Linked DNA regions of Drosophila melanogaster. The protein of the gene in region 1 interacts with the protein of each later gene in a pairwise test. Each region holds a gene or a part of one and is shown in the gene's direction. Other genes may lie near its edges. The genes, in order: GABA-B-R1, CG42494, Ote and Obp18a.

Region 1 (4,740 bases):
TAACAAGCCACAATCTTTTCAATTAACATTATCACACTATTTCATGTTGATTGCTGATTGCAGCTGTGCCTGCAAATGTTTTAAATCGCCCATTCAATAATAACTTTCATTTTATTGAATAGTTTTAGGAGATTACCATAACATAAAATAAACGTTCTATTCAAAGCAAATTCGCTAAATATTTCACTGAAAACATTTATAATTTTATGTAATTAAAACGTGAATTTAGAGTGAACTAGAAATCAAAATCAGAGTTCAAAATAATAGCTGGCCTATGCCAAAATAACATTGGAATACAGAAAATTCATAAATAAATCATCAATTTATCAATGCATAACAATTGCGCAATGTTAATTTTCAAACTGCTGTTTACCAATTTGCTCTTGAGTGGATTTGGTTTAATTAGTGCCGTTTCTGCTCTAACTGTCTATGAAATCAATTCAAATATCTAAACAATAAGTGCGTTCTGTAACCTATACGGCAGTGCAAATATAGGCCATAACCCATGCCCTCGTATTCACACATCTGAAAGTTATTTAATCCGCTCAGCAATTTCGATTGCCATTTATTCACTGGCAGAGTTCAAGACAAGTGCATTTCAGCATACCCGAATTCCACATGCGGACATAAATATTTGAGTAATTGATTTCCCAAGTCGACGATGGGAAAACTTCCAATTTCTTGGCTTGACTACTTTTGGGCCAATGCAAATGGTTTATTTTTGACCGCAGAATCCTTCGACTTGAGCGGACAGTTGAGGTTCTCGAACTAATTGCAAAATTGTCAATGATTTATTCAGTTGGCAATTAAGGTGCCAACTAACGGTGTGGCTGGCACGGCTATATCGATTTGAAAATATTCAATAATCCCGGAGCCTTGATAAGCTCATCAAACATGCACATGGCCATCAGCAGGGGGGGGCAAGTTTGTATTTAGAGCCAAGTGTGTTTGGTGAAGGGGGGTTAGCTGTATATTTCAGGGTTTCCCCTTTTTTTGTCGAGCGGTTTGGGGGGGGGTTTTGCGAGGGGACACAAAAGTACAAGTTGCTATGGATCAAGCTCAAGGCGTGGCAGTTGGGCATTAGCTCTATGGTGGAGCACGGCAACCAAGCGAACAAAGGTCAACTCGACAAGTGAGTTAAATGACAAGGACCTCACCTTGCCTTCCTTGGGCTTCGGCTTTGGCTTTGGCCCGTGCGTGTTTGCATGTTTGGCTCGATGAGGCGACGCGACCCCAAAAATGAAACTCAACTTTGGCTTTGACTGCGGCTCGGGATTGTGGCGTGCAAGCATTATGGCCTTTCGCTTTCAAAACAATGCCCCCATCCTGTTTCCCGGTTGGCCTAGTGGCACTTGCTCCTTGTTGTTGGTTTTTCGCATTGCCCTTGGCCAATTGCGAGTGAATTTTGATGTTTTGACTGGCCATTCCTGGGGCCATTTGACAACTCTATAAAACCGGTGTCCTTAAGCCCGCCCTCGTCCTTGCGCCCAACCCCCAATTACCGTCCAACTACCACCCACCTACACCCCGCTACACCCACCCACAAAGTAAACGTAATTGCCCGGAGAGTTTCGCGACTTTCGACTTGGCCAGCAAACTGAAAAAGCGAAACTTCAAAAAACCCGACTTGACTTGGCAACTGGAAAAGTGGAAAAGCGGAAGCACGAGCTTTCCCACCGAAAAGCTCTCGTGCTCTAAGCTTTCGTCCTGGCGAGGCGAAAACGTAAATGTCAGTCATGGAGTTCCAGTCGTCGGATACATGTGGAACACAACGAACACAGCAGGAGCCTCTCGCGTCTCATCCCCCGAATACAATGCGAAAAAGTCTGTACAAAAAATAGACAAATAAGGAGCAGGAGCGAAAACACCACTCTGTGCATAAGATATAACTCCCGCAGAACTGAATACCTGCAAAAAGAAATACGCGTTAAATGGAATTACGGTGCGGGAATTGATAAAGTGAAGTGTGTTACAGCTAGAAAGCAAGTGAAATAAAACGAATACATTAATAATTCATGCCCCTCATAGTCAGAAGCTTACTAGTTTGATAAGGAATTCAACGTAAATCTGATATAGTAATGTAGAAAAGTTGTACAAAGTAATATACATAGCATATAGCATATAGCACAGTTACACAGAACACACCGCAAACTCAAACAAAGTTGACAAAAAAAAAGCTCACGCCCCTCACATCTCAGTTTTTTCTCGAATTATTTGTGAAAGTGCAACAAACATATATAAAAAATAAAAAAGAAAAGGGAGGAGAGAGCACAGCAAAAAAAGGCAGTGACAGCAGGACCTGCAAAGGAATTGCCATCATTTGGGGATTACGGAATTATCGGGATCCGTTCTCATTAAAATGGATTTAAGGCAATGCCGATGTGCTGAGCTGCATTTGTGCATGGGATTATCGATTGTAATGCGCAGTCATCAAATTATGTTTGAACAACGCCGCCGCGACAGCGATAATAGCAACAATAACAACAACAACAACAACCAAATCAACAACAAACACTGATTTGGCCCCTGACCCCCTTTGGCAGCACCCCCTCCATCCAACACCCCCTACGACCCTGCCCAAGCAAAAGGAGCAGCGAAAAAGAAGAAGCGTCTTATGAAACAATTGAAGCACCGGCCAAAGGAGCAAAGGAGCAGACAAAGACAGAGACAAAAACATCGGCAAAGGATAAAACGGAGGCCGAGAAGAAGAGGAAGCAGTAGTAGCAAAGCAGGAAACAACAACAACAACAACCGCAACATCGCATTTTTAAACGGCAATACGCAAAGTAAGTGAAGTGTAAAGTGAGCGAGATGGCAATAGAAAGGTGTAGAGTGCCGCGAAGAGAGGCGGAGAGAATACACTTGCAAAAATGTGAGCAGCTAATTCCCAGGGATGTTAAAAAAAATTAAACCCTCATGGTTCAAAGATTCTAGGAGATGGACAAGTGATGAATGGTCAGTGGAAATATATGTATGTTTTAAGCCAAGTGAAATCAAAATGATTTGAGAAGTACAAATAAAAGAAAGAAAGGAAAGAATGATATATGATATTTATTGGTTGTAGTACAGGAAAATAATAGTTAAAATGATATCCCGGATTGATGGTCATTACAATGATCGTACCACAAAACTCTTTCTAACTCAAATTAAATTGTTAAAATTATTTTTCAATACAAATTTGATATATTTTTGTTTTTTCGCCGACAAGATGCATAGATCTTTCATAGAATCTGAAATCTATATCTTTTTTATATTGCTTTTGAGAAGAGTAAACCGATCATCATCTACGATCACTCCTTTTTGTTCTGTGTAGGTATGAAGAGAGCAGGTGGGAAGGCAGTGAAGTGAAGTGAAGCATTTGTCGCATTTGTGCAGAATTCCCGACGTAATTAATGTTTAAAGTCTGTGTGTGTGTATGTGTGCGAAGGTTTGTAAACTAGGTCACTAGGAAGTTAGCCCCTTGACGACCATCCCCTCTCATCAGCGCCTCTTCAGCGGCAACTCTACGTCAAAGGTGTCAACTCGCCAAATCTGCAACCACACCTTAGTTAAGTGAGCCACCCCGTAGCCACCAAAATTATCCACAGCACCACCACCTTTTATTCGTCCTTAACACACCGCCATGATTAACGCGCCTCAGTGCGATTAACTGGCAAACAAATTTGGAGTGACGCTGCGGCGATGTACATACATACATATATGTATGCATGTTTGTGCTAAACCGACAGCATTTCCATTCAATAACACACGCGGCTCGTATGCAAACACTGTAAAAAGGTTTTATGCTAAAAAAGACGCCGTATTTGTGCATGAAAAACTGTCATTCATCATCCAACCAACACAAATAACCGGTAATGGCATCGCCACATTATGGCTTTGTATTTTTTACATCCTCAAACACAAAAAAACTTTAGTTGATTTCTGACTTGCATCGCATTCATCACCCACTAAAGTCGAGCAATCAATCCTCAAAATACGTATACGCACTGTTAGTTCAGTTGATTAATAGGCTAATTATGAAGGAAACTGAAAGGAAACACTAAATCAATAAATCCTGGCAAATTAGCATCAGTATATATTTGTGTTAGTGCAAACATTTAAGTTTTCTATCAATTTTAAATACAAATATGTTCAGAATTAAGATATATTTCAAAGGGAACTATGCTTTGTTTAATTAAGATTTAAGGTTTTATAACTATAAAAGCCTTCAAAATGTGCCATCTATTTTATATTCACTTACAAGCAGATTTCAATCAAGACCACTCTTTAATATGATATATTATGTCTAGAACAACCGAGAAGGCACTCTTAAATTAAATATTTTAGTACCGTAATAAATTATGAAACGTGCTGACGGTAAAATATATAATACAATTCATACTTTAAGTTATATTTTTTTTTTGCCCTATATGGTTTTACGTATCGGTGTGTATGTGAGTACCTCGCACACGCAGGACATAGAGATAAAAAGGCTTCTCCCACATAAAAGTTCTATTCTGTTTTTTTTTTTTTATAGAAAAATATTGCTGGCAGGAGTTTAGAACATTGCCAAAGGGGATGCGGACAGATGAAGGGGCGGGGGCGTGGCGGGTAAAAGCCATAAAACTCAGGCGCCGAAGCGCAAAATGCCCTTGCCCTGAACAAAAAGAAGAAATTGAACAGCAACAACCAACAACAAAAACAAAGAAGAACAAGAGCAAATAAAATACAAACTGCTTATTTATTTATTTGTTTCGACAA
Region 2 (4,384 bases), on another chromosome or scaffold:
TTGCAATGCCTGCATGATCAACTCTCCGCGGAGTACGAGTCTCTGAACAAGGACAAGGAGCAGCTAAAGGCTGCAGTGCGGGACTTGCGTCAGGAGCTGCGAGATACCCGTGAACAGCAGTCGGCATTGGAGCAACGCATTGAGGAGTTGACTATTCAGAACAGCAACATGAAAACATGCAGCGAGGATCTGTCAATCCTGCGTACGGAGCACTCCAAACTGACAGACGACTTCCGCAATCTGTTCGCCACCAGCGATCGCTTCAAGAACGAATACAAAAACATCCAGGAGCAGTACAAGATGGTACGCATGGAGCACTCCAGCCTTAAGCTACAAAACACAGAACTCTCCGGCGAGCTAAATGCTAAGAGCGATCAGGTCCGTTGCCTACAGATGGAGTATAGCAAGGTTCAGCAGCGTTGTGAGGTGAGTTAAAAAGTGTCAAGATATAATATTCTATTAATATTCTTTTTGCATACAGATGTTGATACAAAACAATGCTGAACTGGACTCGGAGCGCAAGGCTCTGATGGACAACGTGTCCCAATTGCTCTCTCAATATCAGGAACTATTGGCCATATCCCTGGAGGACAAAAAGCACTTCCATGAGGAGGAGAAGAACTACACCGAACGGGTGCACAGCCTCAAGCGGCAGAAGGAAAAACTGGAGGAGAAAATTATGGAGCATTACAAGAAGTCAGAAACCACAGTGCACAAGAAGTAAATAATATAACCATACAAAAATATATTTGTTATTAAGCCAATCACTGTAAATTTCAGAAAACCATTTGCCAGCATGCTGGTTAGAAGAGTGAAGAAGGCTAGCTCGGATCTAATGAACAAGGTGCCCAGTCGAGTAAGTTTACTCACAACTAGATGTAAAGAAACTTAACATAAAAATATTTTTTTTTTTTCAGAACCGTCGATCTTGGGTAGATGACGCCCGTACCAATTCCCAGTTCGTGATCGGTTCCGAGTCAGGCGGCAATGAGTCGGATAATAGCAATGAGGAGCCACTGTCCATTGCCTCCGACACGCACCTGCTCCAGAGGAATGTCCCGCTCCGCCAGAGTCTGCAGCGGTAAGCCATTCAGTTGGGTTGGAAATTGATGTTTTTTTTAGATTTTTGGGTTCACGGTATTTGTTCTTTTTACATGTATTATACACAACTCGACATTCGCACCAAACAAACACTGTACATTATGTCGGAGTAGGGATTTGCTGGATAACTCGATCCAACGCGGCGGTGCCGTGCGCAGTAGCCTGCAGGCTCAGAAACGTACGGATTTGAATAACTCACGTAGAAATAGCGTGCACGGGTATGCGCTTTTGATGTTTAACATTCATTCTACCCCATTAAAACTTGCCAATTGAAACAGATCGAAGTCTGTTTCGAGGCTTCAATTGACCACTATTAATCCTTATTCCATCTTTCCCCTTGCACAATGCGTATTTCCCTTCGTTGTCGCTCCCCACCTGTGTTTAAAAAAGTGCATTCATCTAGTTACTGATAAATCATTTGCTTCGCAGCAGTCTTGAAGCGCCAGACGTGACGGGCAGCAGTCTGACTCTCGGAACGGCCGGTTCCAGACGCACCGTTTATCTTATCGATGAGCACCAAAAGCTTCCCGATGGCTCTACTCCCGGCGCCACACAGTCACAGTCTGTTGGCGGCAGTGGCTCCGTCAACGCCGCACCTCCTACACCCGCAGAACCTCAGACGCCTCAGAAGAGTACCGAAAACAATGCCCCGGTGGGCCCAGCTACGTTTCTCATGTACAACCGAATAAACACCACGATCGGAGGAGCCTCGAACAGCGGGGACCAGAGCCCTCTGCTGCAGGCCAGCGGCAGCGTCTCGGGAACGACCATGCAGGATGACAAGTCGGCAAGGAAGCGGACCGAAGACAAGAGCAATAGCATCTGGTATGAGTACGGCTGCGTCTAGATCATTCGAACAGTATACGTCCACAACGTGAACTCGAACATAATGCATTTGCTGACGAAGTATTATTTCGTTTTAGAAATTAACGAATTTATTTTTAAACGCATTAGAACATCGATGTTGCCTTAAGCAAGTTACATATGTAAGTGTGAAGTGCTGCTTAAACCGCTATGATTTGCCTTAAGAAATATTTTACAATTAGACTAGTACATAGTACATACTATAGTTTGTACCTATTTATGCAATCTAAAAACTCCACAAGACTACGCGACAACTATGCGAACATATAACTATCCAGTATACACCCCTATATACACAAAACTATAAAAAAATATGTTAAATATTAGCTGTACCGGCCTCAATGTACGTCCTAAGCGAAAGGCTTTCTTTTTCGCAGATAAGACAAGATATTTAAAAATAGTATTTATATCCGTTCATTTGGTGTTTTGTTAACTCGACTCGACTCTATGTATTCCTAGATATGTTGTAAACCACACTCGTACTCTGCTATCAGCTAACGAACGCGCCTTCAATTTGTGAATATATTTTTATAAATTACTTGTAGCCTTGTACTATTTATTGACGCAAAGCCTAACACCGCAATAAAACTAAGCAAACATACAGAAAATATCTCACTTTTTCGGCAAGTCTCTAAAGATAACCAAAGATACATATAAGGTGATCCGTTTGTCCCCAGTATTTTAGATTGAAAGGCGACTGGAGACAAAAAAGATGTGGCTAAAGGCGCTTGTTCTACTGGTAACTACTACAAACTGTGCGCACTTCGGGCTAATAATCACTTTTTAATAAACTTAAGCTTTCGATTCGATATTTGGCGGCCACGTGCAATGTGTGTCAAAGTGATAGCAATGTCGCTTGTCACAGTGAAACCACTTTTTCCATCTGCTATGACGGTCTGTAAATTTTCTTTAAAAACAAGGGGATTGTGTGACAACGTTTTAATTTCCAGGAGTTCCATCGTATGATCTCTTGCCATGTCCAAAGGACTTTTATTGCACGGATGGCTTTTACACTTGCTATCAAAATGCTAATCCGGTTTGCAAAACAGAGGAGGACACTTCCACCACCGAGATCCAGACAACCAGTACAACCACTCCTAGCCCCATTACCACGACAACCACTAAGAACCCAACTACCACTGCTACCCCAATTACCACAACAACCACTGAGATCACGACTACAGAAGCTCCGTGGAATGCCGACGATATCTGTCAGCAATACACTAAAAACACCTTTTTCGAAAACGAAGATGATCCCACCTGCACCACGTGAATACCCTACTGCTGAAAATTGTTTTCGATGCTAGACTAAAGAGTTCATTTTTCAGTTTTATAACCTGTACAGTTGATAGCGACGGAACGCATTCGACAAAAGTCACTTCATGCAAGGCTAATCAGTATTTCAGTACCAGCTTAAAGGTTTGTACCGCCACAAAGCCGGATGGATGCGTGGAGACGACAACCACTATAGCCACCACTACCCCAACCACCACCACCGTGACCACAACAGCGGCGAGTACCACCACAGCGGAACCCTGGAGTGCGGAGAAAACCTGCCTGACTGTCTCTAAGACCACTTTGTTTCAAAACCAAGACGACCCCACCTGCACCACGTAAGTAGACCACGAATTTCCAGGGAACAACTCACATAAACCATTCTTCTAGGTACCTATATTGTTATTTTATCAATGGATCGGCAACAGCTTTGATAAAGAACTGTAAGACCAACCAATATTTTGATGCTTCCTTGAAATCGTGCAGCGAAAACAAACCGGATTATTGCACCTAAGTCAGACCGTTTAACAGCAGTAATCGATCATTATCAGATTTATTGAAACCAATAAAATATTAGTATAAAACAATCATATGATACCATTTTCTAAAATTGGCAAGATAGGATGGGGAACAGGCCACTACAGTAACTATTTAAGAGCCACGCGGAGCTCTTATGCTTCAGAAAGCAAAAGGCAGTGCGGTTAAGCTAATCATGTGGCTGCGTATAATGTTTTTACTGGTGAGGTCTTTAAAAATATCTTTTACCTGTGCTAATGAAATATATGTACATATATATTTTAGTTGCTGGCTCATTGCCTCACGGCTTTGCCAGCTCCAGAGTTTGACGACCACAACTCGAAGACTTGGAGTGCGGAAGAAGCCTGCAGCGAAGTTACAACCACCACCATAATGGAAAACCAGGCTGATCCAACTTGTAGAACGTAGGTCACGTCTATGGCGTACAATAACCAAAATTATATTATATTTAAATTATACATTATCAGCTACGTTTATTGTTACGTGGTCAATGGATCAGTTTTGTCGTTGATTAAGAGCTGCAAAGTGAACCAGTACTTTGATCCCAATTTGAAAATGTGCCGGTCTGAAGTTCCAGATGAATGTTCTGCAATGGCACCAACCAACT
Region 3 (3,989 bases), on another chromosome or scaffold:
TAATTAAAGGATTATCTATGTGAATGTGGGTGTGTAGTAATTCACTAGCCGCTTCATAGACTCTACACGCGTGATTTATGGCACTTAATGTTCTGTAGCCTAAGCCCAAAAAAAAAGAAAAACTGAATGAGAAAGCTCCCATCTGGCCCTCAAAAATCCCGCTTCCTATCCCAAATACACATTGATTCTTTAGAATTTATAAATAAAACAAGTATTGATTGTAAATATACCTTAAAGCGAGTCTTTTGTATTGTAAATTAGTTCCACTGATTGATTTGGTGGCCCTGCTTAGGTGCTTTGCCACCAAGTTCGTGTTATAAACATTAATACATAATATTGTAATTTACTATATGTGTTGGCAGCATTTGCTGTTAACCGCAAACGAAATGCAAGCGATTTACCGAATAATAGCAATTTGAATTATGTCTTCATGTGTAGATCGGCGAGTGTTTTCCTTACACTCATTTAGGAGTCGCTAGGTTTTTTGACATTCTTAATGCAATTTGTAATCAAATCGTAGGAGGCATTCGACTCACGGATACAAACACACAACATAACAAAACAATTAAATGGGATTTAACAAATTACCATAATGGCTTATGCAACGGTACAAGCAGAGTTTTATACAAATTATGTATTTTAGAGATGGATAAAGCGCATTGAATTGAATTCGAAACAATGAAATTGTATCTAAGCAAAGAATGTAATCCACAAAATGGCTAACTAAAGCTAAATCAAGCATTCAAATATGGGCGGACGAATATGAACAAAACACATAACTAGCGGCTAAGAAATTTCAACAAAATATAGTACACATATTTAAAGTATACAGAAAATTATAAAAAACAAAAACAGCTTTAGATGTGAATAAAAAATATGTAATTAAATCAAAACAGCACTTCTTTTGTTTGGGTCATATACGGGAACTTCTGATGGATTAATAATAAACGTTAATTTTGTTTAGGAATGAAGTCTTTTTTAATATCATTAGTTGCTAACGAATTAATCTAGTTATGTCTATGCACTGCCTAGGGGTATGATGAAGCTCATATAGTCCGCTGTGGCGCCCCAGGCTGTGCGATTTGTCTGGAATATTATTATCCAGGCAGTTAGTACTATCAGCCAGAATAGAGTCCCCACTGCAGAGTATATAACATCTGGAGGAAGGTAGGAAAGAAATTGTGGAATATTAGACTGTATGGCATGGGCATCTATTCATATATTGACTTACATCTCTTTATTTGGCTCTGCTCCGAAAATGGTGGCTTATGGAAGGCCTCCGTGAAAAACCAGCAAACGTTAATGGCCCACACAAAGGGCAGAAATGCAAAGCCAGCTAAGTTCGAGACAAATAGAAAGTAACTTGGTTAAAATCCAATCATTACTCATTGGTAGTAACTCTTACCAAAGAAGTATTTGCGACACAGCTCCAGTTTTCGCGGATTTGGTGCCTTTGAGATGTCCATGATTAATCCTCTTCAAATATGTGGGTGTTTGCTCCTTTGTTTTCGAATCTGTTTCCGGCCCAGGAAAGTTTTTTCGTACTTATATGTAAATTGTATGTAATATGTAAATTGTAATAGCTTATATTTTCACTTCAATTTTTGCTTTTGTTGATTTGTGTTTTAGTTTTTAGTCCATTGGAGCGCAATCGATATCGATAAGTTATCGAAACAGAGGTGAGCTAAACTGCGACTCTTGGATCACTGTTTCATTTGCCAATATCTAACGTAAATAACGATATAATAATATAGCATAGATGTTTTATTACGTTTGCACGATTTTGCGATGTGTGCGATGATTAGTATGAAACATCATTCCTTGTGTTCCCTTTTTTTAAAACGCCAAAACTGTTACAAGTCAAGCCCACTTCAGTGTTGTATATCCCCTAAAACAGAATCATCGATAGGTAATACTGCTGCCATCACTATTTTAGCACACACCGCGTAAAAGCGACGCCGATTTCAATTTTCAACGAATTATTAAAAGTGTGCGAAAAACCATACAATGGCCGATGTGGACGATTTTGATTCTCTGTCCAATGCTGAGTTGCGCGCCAAGATGCTGGCACAGGGGCTGCCCAACATCCCCGTGACGGATAGCAGCCGGAAGGTTCTAGTAAAGCGTCTGCGCGCCTCCATTGGTGGCCAGGCGTCGCCGGCCGCTAGTCCCAAGAAGACCAACAGGCGGGAGACCCTGGCTCCCGCACCTGGTGCACCATCTGCTCCGGCGGCAGCCTCCACGCCGGTGGACAAGCTGGATGGCAACAAGGTGGCGCCCGCCACAAAGGCTCGGCGCACAATTACCGCTGCAGAGGCCAAGGAACCAGTGCGTCGATTACCCGAGGAAGCTATACGCCGACGCCCCGACGAAGCCGACCGCCTACGATCCGAGGAGCCCGTTGCCGCCAGGAAGCCAACAACTGCTCCTGCTGCTCAACCCGTACAGACCCGGCGCACTTCCACCTCCTCGGGGTCTGAAAGGAAAGTAGTGGAGCCCTTGAGGAAGCCAGAAACCATTGTTGAGCAACCGGCTTCCTCGAAGCGCGCTGATCGAGAGGAGAATTATCTTAAGGTCAACTCCCTGATTGTCCTAGAGTCCGATGAAGAAGAGGACGAGCAGCTAGTCCAGGCTGCAGATCTGGTGGAGCAGGAGCACGCGGCCAGACAGAAGACCACGAAGCTCGCAAGCAGCGGCACCACTACGTACGAGTACAAAAGCAAGGTTGTGGAGCCTCCACGCCGACAGGTCTATGAAGCGACAGCAGCTCCCGTGCTGCCGCCATCTGTGCCATCTGCCAGAGCGCAGACCACCAGTTCCACCAGGTCCTATGACTATGCGAGCAACCCAGCACCCGGTCGCTATAGCAGTTTTGTGCGTACTGCAGCCCAAGGCTATGTGACTGCAGAGGCTCCGCCGGTGGCCTCCTACTCATCCAGCTACAAGCGTACCTATGCTAACGAGCTGAGCGACGACACTGATTCCAAGGAAGACCAGTACGAAAGCACATTTGCCAGGAATCTAGCTCGTTTGCGAGCCGAACGGATTGGAGATCGCATCAGCCCGTATTCCAGACGCACTCTGGCCAGTGGAAACGCGGGTAGCGGTTCTCTCGGCTATGAGCCGCGTGCCAGGCGCTCCTTGCGCCCGAATGATAACAGCGTATCCGAGGCCTTTAACCGTTGGTTGAACAGCCTGGAGCAGAAGTATCACATCAAGTCGAAGCTGTTCATTGTACTCCTCGTCCTTTTGTTAATCGGCGTTTATTACATATTCTACTGACCGGCGCATCATTGTTCTTATTTCGAATTTGTAATCTAGTTTGTATACCATGTTGGATATGTTTTGTAAACAAGACTGCCGCCGCGGTCTTTGTATGAATCTTGTTTTGATGTAACTTGAGCTTGAGTTTGACTAGCATTTAAGCTGCGTGTTATCCGTGTTCAAATAAAGCCCACTTGCAGGGAATCTCCACAGTTGAACACTTGCTCTGATGTTTTTTCTCCAAACGGCTTTCGATTCACTGCGCTCCACTTGTGGCAGGTGTTTGCCCAGATTGGATCAAGAAACAGCAGCAAACGACGATCGGCTAATGATGGAAAAGTATCTGGAATGCGTGTACAACACTTGTCGGCATGACTCTGACCAAATGTAGGCGCAATGGCAACCAGGCAAGCGCAGCTCTTATCTGAGCTAAATTGTTCCTGCTGCGATCTGATCTGCGATCCTTGCAATGCCTTGCAATCAGAATTAATAAGAATTTTACAAGTCGGCTCGGCGGCCGGTGTGCGTTATTTTAAAATCCTTGCCCGAGTTGGGCTGTTTAATTTTATTAACTGGAAATCGCACTTGCGCGTATTTCTTTATTTTCTTAAGGAAATTTCGCGCCATATTTAGCGGTAACAAGCGCGACCGGATCCGGGTCTGACTTGCATGCCAGCAATAAGTTATGAAAATTGCAACATCAGTGGCTCGGGGGAAATGCCAGT
Region 4 (3,087 bases), on another chromosome or scaffold:
GTGTCAGCTGGGCGTCGCCGGGGGTGGCACGCTGACACTCCCTCGCTGCTGTCTATTTCTTCGCCGCTGAAGACGTCGATGGTCGCTCACAAGTCCCCAGGCAGTGGGGACTCCAGATTCCTTCGCAGCCAGGGGGGCAGGACTTCTTTGGTTTTGTTAATGCTGGTGCTGGTGCTGGACATGCCTGGTATTTTGGAACTTCATTAATTGTGGGTATATTTTTAATATTATCTGAGTGAGTTTTCTCGAGCTTATGGGTCTTTAATTCTTGCTGATATTGCAACAAGTGGTCTAGCTCTGCATGTAGCTTTAGAGCTTTCGACCAAACCGGTGGCGTTTGCTGACCGTATATTAGCCACCTTACGTGGGCTATACGTTTATTCAGCTTAGTTTTCAAACCGCCACGGTGTTTGCCCATACTCAATAGAACTCTACTCACTCAGATTTTTCCTTGGTTTTTGCAGTTCCATTTAATTAGTCCAGTCTTCTTCCAGTCCAGTGTTCCTTTGTTCCTTTGTTTTCACCAGCTTTGGTCAATTCGTCCAGCGTTGGACGACTGTCACGGTCGCCATGTAATGATGAACTCCAATTCAGAACACAAGTCCGTTTTAAGTTGAAGGCAGCCGTCGGGCTGACATATATTTATTCAATTTCTTCTTTTGATTTTAGAGTAGGCAGAAATGGTTCTGTCAGCTCAACGTCTACAGAGTCTCTCTGATTTTACAGTTTTTAATATATTTGGACTTAGGCTAATCCGCGTAGCTGCGCTGCCGGGTACGCCAGCAGCGGAGCGGCGTTCTTATGTATATCTTATATATCTAGGCTTATCGGGAGAGCGAGATATGTATGTACGTATGTAATATGTATTTGGTCGGCGTGTGAATGCTGACCATGCACTTATACTTTTTGCCTTCGAGTGGGTGATCATGTTACATCCGCCCTGGCCTAACTGCGTGCATAAACATAAACATAAACATAGCAACAAAGTGCTGCCATAAGTTAATATGCTATTTTATTTAATTGTTCTTAATATTGCATAGGCACATACTACAGTTTAACATAAGAATACTTTTTTTTTTTGTTGTCAGCTTTAAATGTACGTGTTTTATTGCTAATTTTAATGTTCTAATTACTTTATTTATTCATTGGAAATGGGAATTCGCATAGACGAGCCCATCACGAAAATACTTACCAAAAAAGACAGTAGACTAAGTTTATACTAAAGATAATTAGGGGAAACCGCAAGAAAACAAAGAAAAAAAAAATGCAAAACGATAAACATTGTGGCGGTACAGTGAGCACTGCCTGCGGCCAACCTAAAAACATGACGAAATATTTTTTTTTTTTTTACATCGTGTATAAGATGTGATATTCGCTGCAAATCGCAAAGCGTGAATATAATTTGTATTTATACCTATATTAATGAACCATATAAAATATACGAATAAAGTCCAATACAGTAGATAGGCTACACATATGTTTTTTGTTTAAACTTCAGAGATGCTTGGAGTGTAAAAGCCAAAAATTGTATGTTTTCTATCTTAATAAATATGAAGAAAACCAAGTTGGTAATTTACTATTGGCAATTGTAATGCAGATATTGCGCATACGACATACGTGTAGCTCATAATCGGGAACTGCGCTTAAAATTTCAATTATAGACTTTATTTGTTGGTGTGTGGCGAATGTAAAGTAGCATCCAATTATTTAATTAAAATCTCCTGTCTACTTTTGAGCTGAATTAGCAAATCGATGGGTTATATATATAGAGCTGTGATGATGCGCTCATTGTTAGTTGGGAAACAGATTTTCGCCATGAAGGTTGTGTGCAGCATAGCTGTACTATGGATTTGCTTGATAACTATGGTCAGTTCTTAACGAAATAGTTATGTGTCCATCTAACAATACCATCTATTCTAGTGGCAATCAGCTGGCCGCGTTAACGCAGAGGGTTGCCTAAAGCACCACAATCTGACCAGTGCCCAAGTGCAGGCAGTGGCTCCATCCACTCCCGTTGCGGATGTTCCAGTGGCCGTTAAGTGCTATAGCCGGTGTCTGATCCAGGATTATTTCGGTGATGATGGGAAAATCGATCTGCAGAAGGTGGGAAAGCGAGGATCTCAAGAGGACCACGTGATTTTGTCCCAGTGTAAGCAGCAGTTCGATGGCGTCACCAATCTGGACACGTGCGACTATCCATACCTGATTCTCCAGTGTTATTTTAAGGGCAAGCAGAGTGGAACTATCGCCTCGTAATTTACCAAATAAACAAAAAATAAAGTATACATATATACATTACTACATACATATATGTACACACACATGACAGACACAATGGGCTTCATCACAGTTCATTGTTGAGTCTTCTAATCAGATCAAACGCCCTCTAATGGAAATTACACACGATTGTGCTTAGTATAAGTGTGATTTTCATTATTATTATTTGTATACAGTGATTAATAATTGTATTAGAGCAAAATAGTAGACATGCATTGTTTTAAACTCGTCTGCTTTTTATTGATTTGTTTTATGCAAAGTAACGTAGAACTGGTGGAAATACATAATGCAATAATAAGTCAATCAGAGTCTTTATTTTCCGAAAATTCGCAAGAAACATGGCCAAATAAATAACAGAAAATTTCAGTTTGCTGACCAAATATGTATGTATGCATGTACATATGTACATATATGGGTGGACTGGGAAGCCAAACACAAAATTTTCCCCCTGCTTGAATAATATTTGAAATGGCAGATATGGAAGATGCAATTTGAACATAATTGAAATGCAAATCGCAGACTGTGAACTGCAGAACCGACTTGATGGGGCGGATGTGTGGACGTAATAATGAATCCCAGTCGACCCCACAGGATGCAGGGCAAATTTCAATTTTCCCAGCAAATCATACGTAAAGTTTGGCCAAATACATTTTGGGCCAAGAGGGCCAAAAAGGGCCAGAAGGATGTCAATGCAATCAGTGAGGCATTTGACTTGGCCTTTCATTAACTCGACTCAGCGCAGTCGAGTGCAAAGGACACAGTACATAGTACACAGGACGAAAGACGCAGGACGCAGGACGCAGGACATGG

The links.
Region 2: the proteins of GABA-B-R1 (region 1) and CG42494 interact in a two-hybrid assay, tested with the Drosophila melanogaster proteins (one large-scale study listed by BioGRID).
Region 3: the proteins of GABA-B-R1 (region 1) and Ote interact in a two-hybrid assay, tested with the Drosophila melanogaster proteins (one large-scale study listed by BioGRID).
Region 4: the proteins of GABA-B-R1 (region 1) and Obp18a interact in a two-hybrid assay, tested with the Drosophila melanogaster proteins (one large-scale study listed by BioGRID).

Annotation. Positions count from the first base shown.
Region 1 is NT_033779.5:15,014,611-15,019,350, forward strand, and holds the start of GABA-B-R1 (metabotropic GABA-B receptor subtype 1), read left to right. Parts: upstream 1-1,720; 5' UTR 1,721-2,786; intron 2,787-4,740.
Region 2 is NT_037436.4:3,182,719-3,187,102, forward strand, and holds CG42494 (uncharacterized protein), read left to right. Parts: upstream 1-2,642; 5' UTR 2,643-2,677; coding exon 2,678-2,704; intron 2,705-2,762; coding exon 2,763-2,859; intron 2,860-2,915; coding exon 2,916-3,234; intron 3,235-3,293; coding exon 3,294-3,578; intron 3,579-3,630; coding exon 3,631-3,754; 3' UTR 3,755-3,831; downstream 3,832-4,384. Other genes in the region: girdin, read left to right, coding at 1-426, 482-720, 781-856, 918-1,081, 1,215-1,319, 1,531-1,948; CG32284 (uncharacterized protein), read left to right, coding at 3,953-3,979, 4,042-4,181, 4,245-4,384.
Region 3 is NT_033778.4:18,275,098-18,279,086, reverse strand, and holds Ote (otefin), read left to right. Parts: upstream 1-1,909; 5' UTR 1,910-2,007; coding exon 2,008-3,282; 3' UTR 3,283-3,480; downstream 3,481-3,989. Other genes in the region: pen-2 (presenilin enhancer), read right to left, coding at 1,018-1,157, 1,232-1,336, 1,406-1,466. UniProt on the Drosophila melanogaster protein: Inner nuclear membrane protein. Involved in the attachment of membrane vesicles to chromatin during nuclear assembly, and is probably required for centrosome maturation and cell cycle progression during mitosis.
Region 4 is NC_004354.4:19,134,572-19,137,658, reverse strand, and holds Obp18a (Odorant-binding protein 18a), read left to right. Parts: upstream 1-1,790; 5' UTR 1,791-1,815; coding exon 1,816-1,866; intron 1,867-1,920; coding exon 1,921-2,256; 3' UTR 2,257-2,578; downstream 2,579-3,087.